2 linked regions of the Kluyveromyces lactis genome follow. The protein of the gene in region 2 purifies or fractionates together with the protein of the main gene of each other region. This does not show direct contact. Links are inferred from orthologs where the notes say so. Each region holds a gene or a part of one and is shown on either strand. Other genes may lie near its edges.

What was found.
Region 1: the proteins of FMC1 (region 2) and ATP12 purify together in Saccharomyces cerevisiae (affinity purification with mass spectrometry, with the first as the bait; 3 studies listed by BioGRID). This does not show direct contact. The link is inferred for Kluyveromyces lactis from reciprocal best matches to the Saccharomyces cerevisiae genes FMC1 and ATP12.

The regions. Positions count from the first base shown.
Region 1 is NC_006037.1:571,426-579,465, reverse strand, and holds ATP12 (ATP synthase complex assembly protein ATP12), read left to right. Parts: upstream 1-5,287; coding exon 5,288-6,271; downstream 6,272-8,040. Other genes in the region: CCAAT displacement transcription factor COY1, read left to right, coding at 1-1,376; KLLA0_A06336g (60S ribosomal protein uL22), read right to left, coding at 1,616-1,861, 2,271-2,579; ATG27 (Atg27p), read left to right, coding at 3,589-4,446; PFD1 (prefolding complex chaperone subunit), read right to left, coding at 4,653-4,994; RBH1 (Rbh1p), read right to left, coding at 6,395-8,040. UniProt on the Saccharomyces cerevisiae protein: Essential for the assembly of the mitochondrial F1-F0 complex.
Region 2 is NC_006042.1:384,901-392,464, forward strand, and holds FMC1 (Fmc1p), read right to left. Parts: upstream 3,404-7,564; coding exon 2,924-3,403; downstream 1-2,923. Other genes in the region: SGA1 (glucan 1,4-alpha-glucosidase), read left to right, coding at 932-2,641; isocitrate dehydrogenase (NAD(+)) IDH1, read left to right, coding at 4,259-5,344; KLLA0_F04125g (uncharacterized protein), read left to right, coding at 7,329-7,564. UniProt on the Saccharomyces cerevisiae protein: Needed for the assembly of the mitochondrial F1-F0 complex at high temperature.

The sequences.
Region 1 (8,040 bases), on a different chromosome or scaffold from region 2:
CCAATAGCATCTTGGAAAAGAAAATAGGTGCTCAGGTCGATTTGGAGCAACAAGAAGATGGCGATGATGACACCGTTCTCGTTAGTGGAAAGAATAGCGCTCAAAGTGAGCTTCTGGTACAAGAACTTGAGGCTGCACAAATTCGTATCATGAGTCTTGAATCACGTAATGAAGAATTAAATTCTGAGGTAACCAAATTGAAGAGCGATGAACAACAGGATTCCATATTTCAAGAGAAAGAGACTAAATTGAACCAATTGGAAAGTGAAAATGCTAAATTGGTTACATGTTTAGAAGAAGAACGCAAGAGTTTGAAGGAAACATCCCAAACGTTGAGCTCACAATTGAAATCATCTGCACTTGAAACGCAGACTTATAAATCGGAATTAGAGACATTGAGACGCAAGTTAACGAACTACTCAGATTATGAAAAAATAAAGCAAGAATTGAATGCCATGAAGAAGATTGAATTCGGAACCAGTGATGACAGTGACAACGAAAACGATGATGGTGATGACTCTATCACCAGTTCATTGAAACATGCGAACCAAAAACTCCAAAATAATTTGGTGAAGGCCAATACTGAAAAGAACAAATATATGAACGAAACCCAAACGCTCAAGAAAAGCATAGAAGCTTTATATTCTAAGATTCAAAATCTAGAAACTTTGAATGCGAAATTAGAAGCAGACATTGAGAAGGTCGAAGATGTAACGAACCAATTCTCCGATACACAATCAATGATGTCAGGGGCAACAAGGCAAATAAGTAATAGACATGCCACTAACGAAAAACTATCTCCTACAAGCTCAATCATTGGAATACCAGAAGAAAAAGAACTAGATACCTTCTCCGGCAATTTTAACGGCTCTCCATCTATCCTACCAATTGTCACCAAACAGAGAGACAGATTCCGCTCAAGAAATCTAGAGCTTGAAAGGCAAATAAAGCATTGTAACCAAGAACAGACGAAACTTAAGGTACAAGTGAAGGAATTAAAGGCCGATAATTCCAAATTGTACGAGAAGGCAAAGCTACTAAGTTCGTATTCGAACAATTCCGCAGTGCGCAATACAGTAGATTTGGAATCTCCATTTTCCGAAGAATATGAGGAGTCATTACATCCATTATCTAGTTTCAAAGAAAGAGAGCTAGAAAGATACGAACGACGTAAGATGCCACCCTTGGAAAGACTATTCTTGAGTTTTGCAAAAGTTATTCTAGCGAACAAACAGACAAGAATGCTATTCATGTTGTATTGCCTTGGATTACATGGATTGGTGATGGTGATGACTATATATGTCACAAGTTTCACCAACTACATAACTCCAGACGTTAGCTCCTCATCAGGTAGTATGATTAACACCAATCAGTGAGATACAGTGGTCATTCTTTTTTGTATAATTTCCGTTTATAGTTAATTATGAAAACAGGTAAATCGTTCACAGGAATGTCTCCTGGACTGGCAAATACCTTACAATGAATTAGGTGAAGTATTCTTTTGGGAACGTATGTTGACTGATTAAATTAGTATACTCAGAGGTTTGTGTAAAAAATTACTTAAATGTTATGATATTTATTTGAGAAAATGTTTGGATGGGAAGATCCAGGAAATTTAAGCAGTGATTCTCTTTTGAGTAGCCAATCTACCTCTTTGTCTGGAGGACAATCTAGCAACCTTCTTTTCAGAAGCCTTTTCAACAGCTTCTTCCTTTTCAGTAACGACCAATTCGATGTGAGATGGAGAAGATTCGTATTTGTTAATTCTACCGTGAGCTCTGAAGGTTCTTCTTCTTTGCTTTGGAGCTTGGTTAACTTGAATGTGAGAGACGTACAATCTGGTAGCGTCTAAACCCTTAGCCTGTGGAAATGATTAATTGAAATTACAACGGATGTAATTTTTGATAAAATTTGTTAGTAAAAGTTTCATTTAATTTGGTATAGTGGGGAGAATAAGCTGTTAGAAGTTAGTTTGCTGAGAATGGAATATCTTGATTCTGGTGGTTCACATTTTAGTAGCTCAGGTTATGATTATTCCATGATCATAATTTCTGATGAGTTGTCTAGTTCTGCAATATCATATCTTGTCTTGTACTGGCTCATTTCTGTACATCGTTCTATTTTGTATCGGTCTCATTTGTTCATATATATGCCATCGTTTTCGCCCCACGTATTCATTCTTCCAACATATCCATCGACTCATCCCACTAATTCGTACATCACAGGGCCTACACCCTATGTGTTTCACAATATCAAATGTTATAACATACTTCAGCGTTAGAGGCAGCGTTTTGCAACAAACCTTGGACGAACTTGACAGACTTAGCTGGCCATCTAGCCTTGGTGACACCGAATTCCTTACCTTGGGCAGTTCTACCAATAGAAGAGTTGAATCTTCTGAATGGAATAGCTCTTTGGTGATCCAAAACTTGGTCCAAGTACTTTTGAGCCTTTTGTAAATTCCAACCACTGATAGCTTGAGCAGTTTCTCTGGTGTTCTTGTAAGAAACACGCAAGTAGGAACCACGAGCAGAAGCAGACTTAGCTGGGTTAGTGGAAGTAGCACCGTATCTAGCCATTGTGTATCACTCTGTTTGAAGGTCTTAGTTCTCGGTCCTGTATCAAAACACTAATTAACACGTCTAAACCACTACTCTTTAATATATGGTAACAATGTATATATGCTATATTATCGTATATTCTTTATTCACAATATTTCCAAATTTCCAAACCTGTAAATTGATTCTCACGGTGTGGCAGGCGGGTTTCCGTCTGGGAATGAAAAATTGGAAAGGTGAGAGCCAGCGTGGAGGAATTGCTGCTAGGCAGGAGTTCTGCCTACCGCAACGGGAGACTAGGCAGAGACAAGCAAACCGTAGCAGGAGGAGGCGCCAGAGCAGCGAGGGACCTGGAGTTAGAGTGAGCCCATGGCCAACGTCCGGCGCATCATTGAGTGTAAGACTGATGCCGGTGAATGTGATAGGGGGAGCATGGTAGGTTGAGGAACCGCCTGGGTTGCTGAAACTTACCACTCTGGAGCCGGGACCGGTGTGGTTAGTGGGAGGACTGTGCAGAGAGAGGCCCGCCCTGAGATTTCCGTCCTTCTGCCTAGCTGCATACAACCTCAGCTGTTCAACGAATGAAAAATGAAAAATAAACTTGTCACCTAATTAGGATGTTTATATTATAGAGAATAAAGAAGGAGATTTATGGGTGTTAAATATCGCATGTAAAAGGATGCACGGGCTTAAACAGTCACAAGATGGATATTTACCCGGCCACATATATTTCCCCTAAGCTAATGACATTTATCAGATAGGATTAGCATTAATATACAACGAGTTCTTTACATTTCCATTTGAACCATAACTACTTTTGAAGCCCTATGTTGTCTACATCAGGTATCCAAGCAAGGTAACTACGCAAATAATTAAGTGCTGAGTACATACAGTGCCCTTTGAAAAGTCGCCTCTTCTCAAGATTTCGCTCTAATAAGAGTTTATTGTTGTCTCAGGGGAGTTATATATACCGAAAACGGGTTTATTGAATAATTCCAAAGGAAACTACGCAAAACTATACATACACGCCATGAAAGTGCTACTAGCAACCGCTTTAGTATCGCTTTTGCCATTTTCTTCAGCGGTAGAGTGCTCTAAAAACGAAATCCTCAACAAATATAGAGTCAATGAGTTTTCCATAGGCGGTGTTTCTGTACAGGATACACCACCAAGTGAGACTAAAGAGAGTTGGTGGTTGAATATTTGTGATGAACATGATTCCAAATCGTCCATACCTGACCAATGTAATGTGAAGGATATTTTTTGTGGCGTTACATCTGTTGCATTACCGGGGAAAGAATCAATTGTCACCAAAGTGATGGATTTCACCAGTTCTGTGGCCCTTGAAGTGAAAGAAACCGCGGAAGCATTGTCTATAAGGCTTTCTGGTGCCGCCTGGGGGTCTCATATCTTGAATGCTGATATATATCTACAATGCCAGGAGAAAGGTTCGGGTTCTTTAACGGAATCCAGCTGGACCGATGATCAAAATGTGAAACTAGTGTTCTCTGGTCCATTTGGTTGTTTGAAAAAGGGAAATGACAATAAAGATGGCAACGGAGACGACGATAACAATGATAAGGATGGTGATGACTCCGATAAGAAGCCTCACGATGGTGATAAAAATGGATCCAAACCAAAGGGCGGAGCTGGTCTTGGGTCGTGGCTCGTATGGCTATTCATGTATGCAACTATCTTTGCCCTTATTTATCTCGTGGTTACTTCGTATATGAACACTAGAAACGGTTCCTTTAACGATTTCCGGGAAGAGTTCGTTGATAGATCGACTACGTTCGCTACCAATCTCCCACAATTCGCTAAAGAAGTGGCAGGGAAAATCGTAAATAGTGGTTCATCGTCTCAAAGAGGCGGATACAGTGCGGTTTGATCGAATGTACCTCCTCCTTGACGTGCGATGAATAAAGACCACATGTATTCTGAAATAGAGAATTCTTAATGTACAACTATATATAACATTACCACTGCTAAATACTTTAACTCTATTCTATGATGAATACGACTTTTAAGGGTACTATCTTCCCACATTGCTTGACCCATACAAAAACCCCTGTCGATGCCGACTCAGTAGTTGATTTAATTTCCAATGACTCTTCTCAAACTCTCTACCGTGTTATCGACTGTGGTCTGTAGGTAATGTCTCTTTTGTTCCAATGCCTTTATCTGTTCGTCCAATATTCTTTCATCATGGTTTAAATCAGCAGTGTAGGCTTGCTTCTCTTGACGGATGAACATCTTACCACAAGATCTCCACACTTGCTCATTTCCATAATTTCCCAATTCCTTTTCAGTCAACTTAGCAATCTTTTTTTGCCTCTGTAGTTGTTCCAGTTGTGCAAGCGTCATATCCAATTGTGATCTGCTGTTACGAAGAGAATTTGCCATCTCCTTTACTATATCTTGCGGTTGAGAGCTCATTTTGTCAAATTTGTGTAATTGAGTATCAAATTCTTTGCACTATGCCTCACAGATCTAGATTGACTACTGCAAAGCCAGCGTATGACTCTTACATTTCAATAGTTTCCATATCATCATGCTTAAAGCTTTAAATTTCAGATCGTGGAAACTTTATAATTTTATTTTTTGAATCATTATAGTAGTGAATAAGTACAAGATGCCCGAATAGAAATGAAAAAAAGGTTGGACCAAGTTCTCCAAAGCCCTTGGTTCAATTTACATCCAGTGATACTTAACAAGAATTGTTTGCAAATATGTTAAGATTGAGCAGGCCATTTCGTTTGGTTTCGCCAACTGTTTTATCACGAGTCAGATGTTATGCACAAGCTTCTCCATTAGGTGTGGATCACAGTATCGAGAATAATTTACAAACAGAGACTAATAGATTGTCCAAGACTTTGACTAAGTTTTGGGAACAAGTGAGTTTAGAAGAAACCCCCGAAAATGTTACCATTAAATTGGATTCTAAGCCTTTGCGTACTCCTTTGGGGAACCCTTTAACTTTACCACAATCTCGTAAGCTTTTATCGGTTATGGTTCTCAATGAATGGAGTAATCTTCCTAGTTTATCTGTCAAGCCTTATGTTTTACCTTTAACCTCTTTAGTTTCCCGTTGCATTGATTTGGAAAAGGCCAATGAGGACGGTGTAGACCCAGAACTTGTTGCGAAGATAGGTGGGAACAGAGAAAAGTTAACTGAAGGTCTTTTGAGATATTTAGATACTGATACTCTATTAGTGTTTTCTCCAGCAAATGAATACGAAGGTGCGCTAAGAAAGGCTCAAGATGAATTGTATCTACCGATAATTTCCGGTGTCGAAAAGTTCCTATCTCAAATAAATAAAGATAAGAAAGAAGTCAAATTACAAATATTGGACGCTGATTTACATGGATTGAGAGGTAACGCCCAAAGTGGAGAGACCAGAGAAGTAGCTAAACAGTATTTGGATTCTTTATCTGTTTGGGATTTAGCCATTTTCGAGAAGACTGTCCTAACAACAAAATCCTTTATTTGCGGTCTATTATTGCTATTGAATAAATCGGCAACTGTCACAAATATTCCTGAGTTACAAGTTTCCATGGAAGATATTGCAAGAGCAGCTACCCTCGAGACTATTTACCAAGTTGAAAGATGGGGTGAAGTTGAAGATACCCATGATGTCGATAAACGTGATGTAAGAAGAAACATCCATGCAGCTGCGATTGTTGCATTCGGCCCACCAACCTCGTCGAAATAGATGATAACAATCAAGAATAAATTAAAACTATACTTACTGTACATATGATTAATAAAGAAAGTTTATAACTAAGAGTTTGGGAATTCAAAGGTAATATTCAGACACATCACAAGTGTTTCGTATTTACAGAGCACCTAGCAATTTATAGGTCTCGTCAGCTACATTTTGATTTTTGAACTCTACTAGACGTTCTCCAGCTGAGATACCAGTCCTTCCAATTCTCTTCAGGTCCGATATGGATGAAATGAACGACTCGGTGTCATCCATCTCAAATTTACATCCAGCAACTGATCCATTATATTCTCTAGAGTAAACATTCAACAATCCAACTTTAGTCATCTTCCATCCGTATTGCTGGTCATATTTATGTAATCGCACCTTAATTTTTGATAATAACAGCAGTGATTTACAATCTTTACTGGAATCTAGTACTTGCGGTTTCGACCAACCATGTGATAAATCGTTCGAAGCAGTACTGGACCTGCTAAATGACATATTTGAAACGTTATTACTCAAAATTGATGATGAATTGGACCCCAAGGTCAGCTGTGTTGCAGAATTTGACATGTTGTTGCTTGAGGTTAAAATCACTTCGTTCTTTTTGCAGTGTTTAAGCAAATTGGCAATGTTATCTACCTGAGGACATCTCACTGAAAGCAAGGTTGGAACTGGCTCCGCGACAGAAGCCACAACGTCGGTTGGTGGGAATCTAATTTGAATGTCTTGAGCAGTAGTTCTTGAAATTGTCCATCTCTCACCAATGGCAATACAAAGCTTTAAGTTAGAGTTGTCATCTTGTACCACGAACATGTATCTGCCTTGGTTGGAATTGACGACCTGCAATTGTAACCAACTTGAGGAGAAAAATCTCCATGAATTGTTTCTCCATTGCGATAATTTAACAAGGGTGTCAAGAAGGACGTTATTTGTGTCCAACTTAACGCTGGAAGGTAGTTTGCAAGTTGAAGGAGATAAAGTACTTGAAGATTTTGAAGATTTTGAAGATTTTGACGTAGAAGACGGTGTTGATGCATGCGAAGACATTGCTGACTCTGGAGGGTGTATGCTTTTTGTGTCTGAAAGTTTTGCCAAGCTATCAGTACTATTCTTTTGACTTTTTGATTTGTCTTTCTTGAATAGATTCAAGAAAGACGATGACTTCCGTTTAGTCAATTGAGGTTTGTGAAATTCAGCCGAAAGATTAAAGACTGGGGACCCTCCTAGACTCCCTTCGTTATTAATTCCATCATCATCAGAAATGATGCTATCAATATCGTCAACTCGGCTCCCAATTACGGGACTCATTTGTTCTATGATATTTGAGGGTTCTTGGATGTGTCTAATATTGGTGGGAACCGGTGATTTCATGGAACTATTCATGGTTGAGGCATCGGTACTGTCATTCAACTCCATAAGTTTCTTCATGTTCAGTGACTCTATTTCTGATATAGACAGTGCTTCTGAAGCCAACGGTTTAGATTTTCTTAGGCCAGTGTCGAGGTTTGTCCTCACTTCTGACTTCTTCAGACTGATACCTAAGCCACGAGTACCTGCAGAGGTTATTGTATCTTTATTGATTGGACTTCCAAAAGTACTTTCATTTCTATCACTTAGGAAAGCTTTAGGTGAGTCTGCTACTGCGCACAGAGACTGCACAAAAGGCCTCCAATGTTGGGACCAGGCCAACGTGTCATATGGGGTTAAAGCCAAGGTAACACCATTTCCTGTCTTCGTTTCTAAGAGAATTGACTTTCTTGATTCGTCAGCAA
Region 2 (7,564 bases):
GTGGAGAGAATATCCGGTGCGTTACCCGAATATACGCCAGGTTTAGTTTGCACTAAAAGTGGGAGATGTGAGGAATACGTCTGTATCCGGTTAATCGGAACAATACACTCGCATAAAAATGATTCCAAGCCAACCCAGCTAGGAGGCGGGGGATGCGGCTGTTATTTCGCTGTGGCTACAGGCAGTGAAGGTCGCCACTTTTCGAAGAGAAGTTCTTGAAGTTACAGAAAACACATCATAAATAGGCGGCAATCATGATTATATGAGTGTTTTGGCGTGCGTATCTTTGGTTGATGGAAACGCTGAGAGCATAATTTTGGGCGTTGTCATATTTACGAGTAACACCACTTTCACGTGACTTGCGACTTGGGACTAGACTGGTTTTTTTTTTCCAGTTTTTCCTTTCCGCAAAAGTCAATACTAACCTAGTGACCAAAAGACGGGTAACAACTCTCTTTTGTCCCAATACCAATAATGTAGTATTTCATTTTTAGGGGAGGGCATGGGATTGAAAAAAAAAGGATTCAAGCAAGACATCTCAACTTTTGAGATAACACAAAAACGCGATCTAGGAACTGCGGACAGAAATTTGAAGAAAAATTATATTTACAAGTTCTCGGAGAAGTCACATCTGTTATTGTGTCACTCGAAGGTGACACAATCTAGCTTATTCGATTTCTGTCTGGTTTTTTTTTTCCTGGCTATTTAAATTTCCCATTTTTTTGTGTGATATATCTGCAATTGTTATACTTGTTGCTGTATCAAAAGTATCGATATTAATGAGATCAGTAGGATAGAAACGAAATAAGTTGCCAATATAGTTACTGAAACTTCAATTAGAGTGTCTTGTATCGCTACTGGCTCGAAGATTATTATATTTCTGTGATAGATCAGACATCTAATTTTGCCTTTTTTTTGTTTTGCTTGCATCATGAATAACCCTAATACGATGCTAAGTAAAAGCTCAAGAAAACCGAGAATACCTAAGCACTCACATTATTTTCTGTCCTTCGTTTGCATTTCTTCGTTATTAGCATACTATTTCCTTTTATCACCATTTCAAGCTGGGAATCACAATGCGAATCACAGTATAGAGTGCCCTTTATCAAGGTCATCTCCACTAATTGAAGTGTCAGATTTCAATAGGATATCTGAATTCAAATTGCAACCAATCCCAGTCTCGAAGAACATTTCAAGGAATGATTTCAATAAATGGTTGGAAGAACAAACGGAGATTTCCTTCTATCATATGTTCGAAAACATTTGTCATGCAGAAACATCAGATAAATTTGATAATTGTACTCCTGGTGTTGTCTTTGCGTCTCCTTCCAAGAACAAACCAGATTATTTCTATCATTGGATTAGAGATGGTGCCATCACCATAAACACTTTAATTAATACGTATCTTGATATTGATAGGGAACGGACTCTTGAGACAGTCTTGGATTACGTGAACGCATCTTTGGATTTACAACATAAATCTAATCCCAGTGGGCCAGCTGATGATCCTTTGTTCAGAAATTTGGGAGAACCAAAATATCATGTTGATAACAGCGCTTATGAACTTGTCTGGGGCAGACCACAGAATGATGGCCCACCATTAAGAGCTATTGCATTGTTGAACTTCTTGAACCAGGTAGACGATGGGGAAACCGAGAAATACAATTGGATATTTGATGAGGTAATTGCCTTAGATTTGAAGTTTGTGTTATATAATTGGCATATTCCAACGTATGACCTATGGGAAGAAGTGCGTGCTTATCATTTTTTTACTAGTATGGTTCAATTGAAGGCGCTAGTAGAAGGTAAGAGATATCTTTTAACGTCGGAAGCAAAAGGTGTAAAATTGAGCAAGCAGTTGACTATACTATTGAAGGATATTGAGACTTGTATAGACAAAATTGAGGATTTTATCATCGATGCCAATTCAGGGTTTATAAATCATGAAAAGGGTTACATTGTGGAAACCCCCAGTATTTTGGATGAAAGGTCAGGTTTAGACATTGCTGTGATCATGGCAAGCACCTTGACACATGATGATTCTATAAAAGATATGAACACCGTTTATGATTCCTTCTTGTTTGATATTGATGATCCTTTCATATTGAATCATTTCAATGAACTAATTGAGAGAATGGCAGTACTTTACCCGATCAATCACAACAGACTTAATACAAACATGGGAGTTGCCATTGGGAGATATCCAGAGGATATTTATGATGGAATTGACATCTCTGAAGGTAATCCCTGGTTTATCTCAACGTTAACCTCTGCCGAATTGATTTACAAATTAGTCAATAAAATGTATCACGATGAGAAACCTTTACTCATTGATCCGATATCGAACAAGTTCTGGACTAAATTCTTCGAATTTGGGAATATGAAGGATTCGCTGATCTTGATACCATATAATACATTAGCGTTCAACCAAACGTTGTACACAATATTCAAATACGGTGATTCATTCCTAAGCAAAGTTAACGAGCATGTAAGTAACGACGGATCGATGAGCGAACAGTTCAACAAATATCATGGATACAACCAAGGGGCTCCAAATTTGACATGGTCTTACGGTACTTTCAGCAATGCACTTCGCTGGAGGGAAATTGTCGATCGATTCATCCATCCTATTGCCATATAAGACATGGAATCACTCTTTCGAATAAAATGTAAAGGGGCAAGTTGTTAATGAAAAGTATATAGGTTGAATAAATACTTTGATAATGATAAATTTTAGCTGCTACTTGTATCTGCTTTACTTAACAAAGAAAAGTACTGAATCCTAAGTTCATTGATCGTTGCATTATTGACTATTAAAACATCTATAAAAAAACACAAGCTTAATACGAGAATATTTACATTTATTGACCGTCTCTAAAAAGCTTTTCCAACAGCAGTATGGTTAAACTTGACCGTGTTGCTATTACTCAGGAACTTGTAGACCTACCTTGTTAGCAGTCTTTTGAACTTTTTCCTCTTGTGACATTTTCAATCCTGGATTATATCTTTCGATCAACTGCTCGTATTCACTTTGATTGACAACAAAGGCCGCAATATCTTTCAAATGTTGAAGAGAACGCGGGTCATCTTTCAGCGATAGAACAATATCTTTGAGATGTTTGCTATGGCTGTAAAATAATAGCTCTTTAGATTTCAATGGGTCCTTAGTCTTCAAAATTTCAATTTTTTTTCCAACCGCACTGAGCTGTTTTAATACCTTGCTTCTTGCCATTGCATCTAGGCCCTTCTCCTGCTGTTGTCTCACTAATTGGATCCTATTGTATGTCAATAAGGCTATTTGTTTCTTTGTATCTTGCTGTAGTTGTTGGATTTTATTGTGCTTCGCACTACGGACAAGTGATCTCAATAGTGACTTATATGTCGATAACGTTAGCTCACTCATTGTATGATCCTTAATATATTCTATATTATCACTGCTCTGTGAGATAATGATAAGTGGAGATATCCTATAATGCCTATTATAATATGTCAAGGCAGAGTACTCTCATAACATGCTAGAATCACCAATCTAATACAGAACTCATCGAAACATTTTTCAACAGTCAAATCTCTCTTTAACTGTCGATCCAGATCACGTGAAACCTTTTTCACGTTTCTTCTGTAAATCTGAAGATATATTTCATTCCGGGTAATGATTCGTGTTTTTTTTTTGTCACTTTTCTTTATTTTCCTCTTGTTCGTTTTTTGACTGACTCAATGCCGAGAACGGAACCCAGGTCACATGATCGCGACTGTTATTATACTGCAGCGGGACCGACTTTCCAACTTGAACACAGGGGAATCAAATGTGACCTAAATTTTGTTAGAAATTGGCATGATAAGTATATAAATACAAAATATGGAAATTGTCCAGAGAGATTTAAAAACCTTGAATCACAACCGCTTTCATTTTACATCAACAACTGAAAAGGAACACTGTAAAAGATCAGTGAAGAAAGCCAATTCAATTGCCTGAACAACTAGCGGATCTGCCATTAGTGTTATAACTATCATTTCTATTCGTTTTCTTTTTTTCTAAAGGTTTTGTGTTTATTTTAAATTCCCTTCTCCACTAAGAAACAATATTCCAGATATAATTTGAAGTGCCCTTCTTTTCGAATTATATTAAGCTTAAAACAATAGTCATTATATCAGATCAATAGGTTTTCTCATTTCCGAGTTAATTGCTCTTTTATTTTAACTTAAAACCCCTCATATTCCCGGTATTACATACTAAATTACAAGAACATAGAAAAAAATGTTGAGACAAGGTATTGCTGCTCAAAAAAAGTCCTTCGCTACCCTAGCAGCTGAACAATTGTTGCCAAAGAAGTACGGTGGTCGCTACACTGTAACTTTGATTCCAGGTGATGGTGTTGGTAAGGAAGTGACCGACTCAGTAGTCAAGATCTTCGAAAACGAAAATATTCCAATCGACTGGGAAACTATCGACATTTCTGGTCTAGAAAACACTGAAAATGTACAAAGAGCTGTCGAATCTTTAAAGAGAAACAAGGTTGGTTTGAAAGGTATCTGGCACACTCCAGCCGACCAAACCGGTCATGGCTCATTGAACGTTGCTTTGAGAAAGCAACTGGATATTTTCGCCAATGTCGCCTTGTTCAAATCAATTCCAGGTGTCAAGACTAGATTGAATAACATCGACATGGTTATCATCAGAGAAAACACTGAAGGTGAATACTCTGGTTTAGAACACGAATCTGTTCCAGGTGTCGTTGAATCTTTGAAGATCATGACCAGGGCTAAGTCAGAAAGAATTGCTAGATTCGCCTTTGATTTCGCCTTGAAAAACAACAGAAAGTCGGTCTGCGCTGTTCACAAAGCTAACATCATGAAATTGGGTGATGGTTTGTTCAGAAACACCGTTAATGAAATTGGTGCTAACGAATACCCAGAACTCGATGTCAAGAACATCATCGTTGACAACGCTTCCATGCAAGCTGTTGCCAAGCCACATCAATTCGATGTTTTGGTGACACCAAACTTGTACGGTTCTATCTTGGGTAACATTGGTTCTGCTTTGATCGGTGGTCCCGGTCTAGTCCCAGGTGCTAACTTCGGTAGAGAATACGCTGTCTTTGAACCAGGTTCCAGACATGTTGGTTTGGACATCAAGGGTCAAAACGTTGCTAACCCAACTGCTATGATCTTGTCCTCTACTCTAATGTTGAGACATCTAGGTTTGAACGCTTACGCTGATAGAATTTCCAAAGCTACATATGATGTCATTTCTGAAGGTAAGTCAACAACAAGAGACATCGGTGGTTCAGCCTCCACTTCTGAGTTCACCAACGCTGTTATCGAGAAGTTAGCCAAGTTATGATCACATCAAGGAAATTATGACATCTTTTTATCCACACAAAACAAATAAAAGAAATTTGATCCTTATAATATCCTTCTCTACCTCCTAGAAAACATGTTTTCTTTACCGTCCTGTCCCTCTGAATGAAGACAGTCACTTCCAACAAACATATACAATCTTCAAGATCAAATCAATAGATGATTATTTACTAAATTCCATTACGTAACTTTTTAAATCATATATACAATCACGACGACGTTCAATTCTTTTGATACAGCATCAAGTAAAAAACACAATCCTTAAGTTTCTTCCCTGACCATAGTAAATACAACGATTATATATATAGCAGTTTACTAGTGGTGGTTGATGCTCCCTTCCAATGTGTTTAGTGTTCTTTTGGATGTAGTGATCGCTTTCACATTGCAGCAGTTCTCGAGTGAAAAAATCATGTCTATTGTGAGTCAACATTAGTGAATAAATGGAACTGCTTAAATTTCCCTGACACCTAACTAAGTAAGCTATCAGCTAATAGTGCATATCGAAAGAAGATGGATACAAAGTAAATGCTTCTATTTCGGACCGAAAAGGTAACATCAGGCCCCTTCCATACATCTCATCTATGTGCCTAATATGTCCTGGTTTTTGACATTTCTCGAATTCGAGAACAATAAAAAACAGTACACACAAATACAGCAGGCTTACATAATAGAAAAGACTGACAGCTTTGTAAAAGTTGGAATATTACAGCAGCCATCTCTACGATGGCATCTCGAAGAAACAGCAAGCAGTAAGAATGAGCTAATGGATACAGCAACCCAGTATCCTGCTCTGCCAAGTTCGGATTAGGCAATGATATGCTATGCTATGCAATATCATGTCATGTGACGGGTGACAATCGAACTATTTTCTTTACCAAGAAAACCACTTTTTCCAGGAAATGCGCTTTAGTGGTTCTATCCGAAGACAAAATGTTGCCATCCTGTAGCCTGAATGACACTGATACATAGCAGGGCATATATTAATCTTGATTCTCCTCTGAGACAAACAGTATATTTATAATCATCTGTATCTTAGTGTCACAGCGTGCCACACAGACATAAGTTACGTATTATTGCGATGTAGGAAATAAAATGGAAAATGAGATTTTTCCATTAGAACCGATCTAACGTCCATTTTGATTGGGTATTATTCTGAGCTTCATTCTCCGAACGATCAACCGGTGACCCACCGGTGGGTCACTGGTAGGTAAAGTTGCTAGAGGAGATATTCTTTGTCTGACTTCGGGTTTTGAACCTTCTATTTAGGTTGAGAGTCTTAGTATGTCCCAAAAAAGGGGAATGTCTGAATGTATTGAAATAAAGAAATGAAAATAAAGAAATGCCACTTTTTCATGCACACATAAATCACAGCAGTAGGAAAACTAATAGAGAATGATTATGGAGCCCATCCAAAAACTATTGACGTATTGTACAGGTTTCTGAAAAGTTTTCAAACTGCACTCAGTGTTGACTTATTCCCTACTTGTTCTGGGGCATTTTGCTTTGGTCCTTTTCATGAGATCCACACTCAAACTTAGGTAGTAAGTGATGTAAGTAGGTAGCTTACGTTATTGTTTCCCACAGTATGTCGCCTTGGCCATAAGAAAGCTAATGGATTGGTAATGGAAACAATGATAATATATAAAGAGCATACAATTGTACATCAGACTCAACCATGTGTGCAAGTTTACATTTCTGACCATTAACTATTAGTAGCGTTAATGACCAGTAAAGGGATAATCGTGAAAACACAGCTCATATTCACCCCGGTATATAATAGTTGACATTGTTACCAAGTTCGTTTCATACTTATATGCAATAAAACTATCCTGTCTGAACTTATCTTTTCCATCTCAGATCTGCCATACATATAAGCTGGGACTTTCCAGGATCTAATAAGAGCCCGTTCAAACACTACTTATTACAGTGTTAGGGTGAAGGACATAATCAATTTTTTTCCGGTAAAAATGACGTCTTTTGAGAACAGACTTCAGGGTTCAGACAACGGGTCAGTTTCTGACGATTACGATGTGCATAAGACGCTACTCAAAGCACCTGGCCAAAAACACCAAGATGTGGAAGACGTAGTTGAAGTCCAAAACTACGGTGACGATACTAGCGTGTCTTACAAGGATGGCCTCACAGAAAGTGACGAAGAAGGGCATCAGATTAAATACAAGACTTGTTCATGGCAGCATACTAC